2 linked regions of the Callithrix jacchus genome follow. The protein of the gene in region 2 binds, or shares a complex with, the protein of the main gene of each other region. Links are inferred from orthologs where the notes say so. Each region holds a gene or a part of one and is shown on either strand. Other genes may lie near its edges. The genes, in order: MCFD2 and LMAN1.

Region 1 (2,772 bases), on a different chromosome or scaffold from region 2:
GGGAAAGTTTGGAATTTCCTACAGACTTGTTGAAGGGCTTTACCCAAAATGCTGATAGCAATATGGACAATAAAGTCCAGGCCAAGGTGGTCTCAGATGAAGATGAGGAACTTGTTGGGAAGTGGAGTAAAGGTGATTCTTACGTTTTAGCAGAGACCAGAAGCATTTTGCCCCTTCCACAGAGATCTGTGGAACTCTGAACTTGAGAGAGATGATTTAGGATATCTGGCAGAAGTAATCTCTAAGCAGCAAATCATTCAATAGGTGACTTGGGTGCTGTTAAAGGCATTCAGTTGTTTTTGTTTTTGTTTTTTGAGACAGAGTTTCACTCTTGTAACCCAGGCTGGAGTGCAATGGCGCGATCTCGGCTCATAAGAACCTCCGCCTCCCGGGTTCAGGCAATTCTCCTGCCCCAGCCTCCTGCGTAGCTGGGATTACAGGCACGCGCCACCATGCCCAGCTAATTTTTTGTATTTTTAGTAGAGACGGGGTTTCACCATGTTGACCAGGATGGTCTCGATCTCTTGACCTCGTGATTCACCCGCCTCGGCCTCCCAAAGTGCTGGGGTTACACGCTTGAGCCACAGTGCCCAGACCCAGGCATTCAGTTTTATAAGGGAAGCAGAGCATAAAAGTTTGGAAATTTGCAACCTGACTCTGCAATAGAAAAGAGAAACCCATTTTCTGTGGAGAAATTCAAGGTGGCTGCAGAAATCTGTGTAAGTAGCAAGGAGTCTAATGTTAATCCCCAAGACCATGGGGAAAATATCTCCAGTCCATGTCACAGACCTTTAGGGCAGCCCCTCCCATCACAGGTCCAGAGGCCTAGGAGCAAAAAGTGGTTTCATGGTCTGGGACCAGGGTCCCCAGGCTGTGTGCAGCCTAAGGACTTGGTGCCCTGTGTCCCAGCCACTCCAGCCATGGCTGAAAGGGGCCAACATACAGCTTGGGCTGTGGCTTCAGAGAGTAGAAGCCCTAAGCCTTGGCAGCTTCCACGTGGTGTTAAGCCCGTGGGTGCACAGAAGTCAAGAACTGAGATTTAGAAACCTCTGACTAGATTTCAGAAGATATATGACAACGCCTGGATGCCCAGGCAAAAGTTTGCTGCAGTGGCGGGTCCCTCATGGAGAGCCTCTGCTAGGGCAGTGCAGAAGGGAAATGTGGTATTGGAGCCCCCACATAGAATTCCTACTGGGGCACTGCCTAGTGGAGCTATGAGAAGAGGGTCACCATCCTCCAGACCCCAGAATGGTATATCCACCAACAGCTTGCACCGTGTATCTGGAAAAGCTGCAGACACTCAACACCAGCCATGAAAGCAGCCAGGAGGGAGGCTGTACCCTGCAAAACCACAGGGGTAGAGCTGCCCAAGACCATGGAAACCCACCTCTTGCATCATCAGCATGACCTGGATGTGAGACCTGGAGTCAAAGATTATTTTGGAACTTTAAAATTTGACTGCTCTACTGGATTTTGGACTTGCATGGGCCCTGTAACCCCTTTATTTTGGCCAATTTCTCTCATTTGGAATAGGTGTCTTTACTCAATATCTGTACCCTACTGTATCTAGGAAGTAACTAGCTTGCTTTTGATTTTACAGGCTCATAGGCAGAAGGGACTTGCCTTGTCTCAGATGAGACTTTGGACTGTGGACTTTTGGATTAATGCTGAAAAGAGTTAAGACTTTGGGGGACTGTTAGGAAGGCATGATTGGTTTTGAAATTTGAGGACCTGAGATTTGGAGGGGCCAGGGGCACAATGATATGGTTTGGCTGTGTCCCCACCCAAATCTCAACTTGAATTGTATCTCCCAAAATTTCCATGTGTTGTGGGAGGGACCCAGATTGAGGTAACTGAATTATGGGGGCAGGTCTCTCCTATGCTATTCTCGTGATAGTGAATAAGTTTCATGAGATCTGATGGGTTTATCAGGGGTTTCTGCTTTTGCTTCTTCCTCATTTTCTCTTGCTGCCACCATGTAAGAAATGCCTTCTGCCTCCCACCATGATTCTGAAGTCTCCCCAGCCATGTGGAATTGTAAGTCCAAGTAAACCTCTTTTTCTTCCCAGTCTTGGGTATGTCTTTATCAGCAGCATGAAAACACACTAATACAGATGCTTTAAGCAAGCCCTTGTCCAATAAGGTATTTAATAGCACTTAGGGACTATCAGATGTCCCATTTCTCTTCTCTTTCATTTCTCTTGATCTCTTCTTGCCCCAGTGTAAAAAACTGCTACAGGTTTTTAGCAAAATGCTGCAGCGGTAGTTGGAAATGAGTTATTTTGCATTACTAAAGTGTTCAATCACATTATCACAGGTCACATTTGCATATAACCAGGAGATGGCCAAATAACCTCTATTGCAGTGATTTTGCAAATTCAGCATAGTCAATGTATCCATCATTGTTCTTGTCATCATCTCTCAAAACACCATCTATTATGTTAATCAGTTCATCTTCACTCATTAGTGGTGCCTGTTCACTCCCTTCCTACAAAATACAAATTAGACAATGATGAGTTGCACATTTTACTGGAAGAAGTGCTTAGCTAATGTGCAAAATATCCATGCTCTTTCATGGGCAATGTTTATTAAAAACAAAACAAAACAAAACCAACAAAATGTCCATGCTTATATGTGTCTAAAAACTTTCAATGGAGTATGGGGCTACTTCTAGGAATCCATCTATATATTCTCTCTACATATATACAGAAAATATACATTTTATCTCTATAGTCTATATATATTCTCTCTATATATATTCTACTCTGTATA
Region 2 (3,829 bases):
TTACACAAGTCACAATGGCTATTACTAAAAAGTCAAAAGACAACAGATGTTGTCAAGCATGTGGAGAAAAGGGAATGCTTATATGCTGTTGGTGGGAATGTAAATGAGTACAGCCTTCGTGAAAAACAGTGTGGAGAATTCTGTTCTCCAAGAATTAAAGAACTAAAAACAGAATTAACCATTTGATCCAGAATCGCACTACTGGGTATTTACCTAAAGGGAAAGAAATCATTATAACAAAAAGATACCTGCATTCACATGTTTATGGCAGCACTATTTACAATAGTAAAGATATGGAATCAACCTAAGTGTCCATCAACAGAGGACCTGATAAAGTAAATGGGGCATGTGTGTGCATATATGTGTGTATATACTATAGATTACTATTCAGCCATAAAATAAAAATGAAATCATGTCTTTTGCAGCAAGATGGGTGGAACTGGAGGCCATTATCCCAAGTGAAATGACTTAGTCAAATACCATACATTCTCTCTTATAAGTGAAAGTTAAACCATAGGTACACATGGACATATGGAGTAGAGTAACGGACTCTGGAGACTACCAAAGTGGGAGGGGAATGAAGGCTGAAAATTACCCATTGAGTACCATGTTCATTAGGGTGAGCGGTACACTAAAACCCCACACTTCACCACTATGTGACATAAGCATATAAGAAATCGGCACTTGTACTCCCTAAATATATAAAAAGTTAAATAAAACTAAAATGGAGGGGATGGAGGCAGCAAACCACCTTGCTATGTATGTACCTGTGCAACAATCCTGCATGACCTGCACATGTACCCCAGAACCTAAAGTACAATTAAAAAAAAAAAACAAAAACCTAAAATGGAAAAGTATATCTCTTTCATATACACTATGTGATTCTACTTATATGAATAGGCAGAACTAATCTACAGTGATAGCAATAAAAAGTGATGGGCTCTGTGGAGAAGGCGGTTGACTTGAAGGAGGCAAGAGGGAACTTTCTGGGATGATAAAAATGTTCTGTGTAATGATCTGGGTGATGGTTAAACGGGTAAACGTATTTGTCAAAATTTACCAAACTATACTTTCAAACACTACAGTCAACTTCAGGATATACTCACAAATTTTATGTGATGATGTTTAAAGCAAATTCAAAATAAGAATGACTTTTATGTTTCATTTTTAAATTCATTAAATCTGATTCATACTAATCATCATTAAGAGAAGTGCATACTACATGGCGTGTTCAAATGCTAGCCTCAGCCTTTATTAAGTATACCTTTGATCACTTAGGCTGACGGGGAACAACTCAGATAAAAAGTTGGCAGATAATATGAAGTCCCTCAATTTGGCCTTAAAATGTTTTATTTTTGACATCAGCACACTCAACTTCTTAATTACATTGGCTTAGACTAGTATTTTATAATTTTCAACTATACAGTCCAGGATTCTATTGAGTAGTATGGGGAGAAGCAGATATCATATTACTTCCACAGCAGTTTTGATAGTTTTTAAGGATTATTTCCACACTATAAGGTAACTATGTGCCACTAAAAGCAAAAACATAAACTTTTGATGATTTCATTCAAAAACATTTACTGAGCCTGAACTACTAGGTTAGCAATTGTTTTGGATTTCTTTTTAGGCTTAGCGGACACTGCAGTGAATATAGCAAACAAAATCCCTTTCATTCCGGCAGTTCCATTCCTCCACATAACCATGGTACTCTATTTCACAAATGACTAAGCCACATTCTCACTGGTAAAAATACCAATCTCCCAACTCTTAAAGACTAAAGATTTACTCATAAATTGTTTCCAGGAATCACTTGGAATGTGCCAGTTCAAAGAACAGGGATGAGTCAGTAACACACAAACTCAGGCATTCATGATCATCAGCCCCAACACCGGCTGCAGCACCCACGTATGCTTCGCTACAACTCACCAGGCTGCCATTGGAGGTCAGGGTGGACCTTCTGGAATTCCTCTTTTTTTTTATCCAATTCTTGTTGAAAGTGCTCAAATTCCTCTTGATACTTTTCTTTTTCTTTTTCTGAAATTTCTTTATCTGGTGTAGGCTGATTTTTTTTGGAGTTTCGGAATAGATCATAAAAAGGATAAGAAAATCATTAAGATACCTCAATATGTGCTATTTTTTTCATTTTAACTATTTGACCACTAGCTGAAAGGTTAACATAAACATATTATTCCTTCTTTACTTTAATGATAACAAATTTACTTTTTTTTTTTTTTGAGATAGACTCTCACTGTCGCCCAAGCTGAAGTGCAGTGTCTCGATCTCGGCTCACTGCAGCCTCTCCCTCCCAGGTTCAAGCAATTCTCCTGCCTCAGCCTCCTGAGTAGCTGGGACTACAGGTGTGCACTATCAGGCCTGGCTAATTTTTGTATTTTTAGTAGAGACGGGATTTCATCGTGTTGGCCAGGCTGGTCTCAAACTCCTGACCTCAGGTGATCCGCCCACCTTGGCCTCCCAAAGTGCTGGGATTACAGGTGTGAGCCACCACACCTAGCCTACTCTTGCCTCTAATAATTAACCGCTACCATTTACTGAGCCCCTGCTGTAAGTGCACTGTCTTAATCCTTCAAAATCATGAGGTGGCCAATACAAACATCTCTGTTTTACCAACTAAGAAACGAAGCGTTACAGAGGTTCAGTGACTTACACAAGACCATATAGCAGTAACTGGCAGAAACAAGTTCCAAACCTGTTAGTCTTCCCAAACATTCAGCTAAAAGGCAAAAACACTAAACTGAGAAACTTTTTGGAAAAAATGTGTAAAATTACCGGCTCTTTTCCAGGTTCAGTCAACTGGAAAGTCAGAAAGGAAAGTACATCATGGTCATCTACAAATTAAAAAAAAAAAAGTCTAAAAAAGTTCCACAGGAGATTACTTTTATCACTGTAAATGAACTTTATCAGTATTTATTGCTTTAAATATCAATAATCAGTGAGGAAATTAACAAAAATTAACTCTAATTTGGTAAAGGCAATGGAACTTTGTGAGCTAAGAGACAAAAATTCACGTGATTTGTATTAGAAATAATCTAAATGTTACTTTCTTAAACCCTAAATCAGAACATTTAGTAGTGTTTAACATGTAATAGATGTTTAATAAACGTCTGATAAGAAATCAACAAACAAATGAAGGGTCAAAAGAAGTCCAGACTCCTTATTCTGGTACCAAGATCCTCTATGATTTCCCATAAATCCCCTTCATGGACAATGTACCAGACAAATGAGACAAAATCCTGGTCTCTAAATAATTCCGGTACCTTTATGTCTTTGAATCTTTCTTATAGTACCTAATGCCTTCTGTCTTACTTTCTTATTTGTTTCTCTTACATGGAGGATATTAATAATTTTATCTTACCTAAAATCATATTCAAAAATCAAATTTAAGTTGTGCAAGCCAAAAGCACCGGCTCAGCAGATCAAACTTCCTAACCCTTAACTAAAATACTAATCCTGGATAGTCACATTCACAAATCAAGAGCAATTAATTTCAAGTATATAGCAATCTTTATGCTTTGTACTATTTGCATACAGATCTAGAGATGTAGTCAGATTAAAAAGAAAAATATAATACTGCAGTATAGATTAAGGAACTTAAGAAATTATGTTGTGTAATAGGGTACTGAACCTGGAGTCAGAAATCCGTATCAAGTCCTGCCTGGGGCTGACCATTAATTGGCCATACAATTTCCAGAAATTTATTTCACCTAAAATTTGTCAAGTTCTTCTAAAAATATGATCTTCCCTCCCTTCCTCTCTGGGTTGTCAGAAATGATCCACATATTTGAAAACATTTAAAACTACAATATAT

Evidence for each region.
Region 1: the proteins of LMAN1 (region 2) and MCFD2 are in contact, whole or in part, in a cryo-EM structure (PDB 8JP5), measured with the Homo sapiens proteins. The link is inferred for Callithrix jacchus from reciprocal best matches to the Homo sapiens genes LMAN1 and MCFD2. Residues at the interface, in NP_005561.1 of Homo sapiens: His43, Arg44, Arg45, Phe46, Tyr48, Lys49, Ser51, Phe52, Lys53, Pro55, His56, Gln59, Ser60, Asp61, Val64, Pro65, Phe66, Trp67, Lys96, Phe265, Glu273, Lys279, Glu280, Ile281, Glu285, Lys286, Tyr289, Glu292, Phe293, Phe296; in NP_001164977.1 of Homo sapiens: Val59, Ile60, Asn61, Lys62, Gln70, Glu71, Leu74, His75, Phe77, Lys78, Tyr82, Asp83, Asn86, Asp89, Gly90, Leu91, Glu92, Thr95, Thr98, His99, Val100, Leu111, Glu114, Leu117, Ile118, Ile121, Asp122, Leu125, Asp129, Lys130.

What each region holds. Positions count from the first base shown.
Region 1 is NC_133515.1:67,837,580-67,840,351, reverse strand, and holds part of MCFD2 (multiple coagulation factor deficiency protein 2), read right to left. Parts: intron 2,489-2,772; coding exon 2,357-2,488; 3' UTR 1-2,356. UniProt on the Homo sapiens protein: The MCFD2-LMAN1 complex forms a specific cargo receptor for the ER-to-Golgi transport of selected proteins. Plays a role in the secretion of coagulation factors.
Region 2 is NC_133514.1:102,360,613-102,364,441, forward strand, and holds part of LMAN1 (protein ERGIC-53), read right to left. Parts: intron 2,850-3,829; coding exon 2,791-2,849; intron 2,063-2,790; coding exon 1,930-2,062; intron 1-1,929. UniProt on the Homo sapiens protein: Mannose-specific lectin. May recognize sugar residues of glycoproteins, glycolipids, or glycosylphosphatidyl inositol anchors and may be involved in the sorting or recycling of proteins, lipids, or both.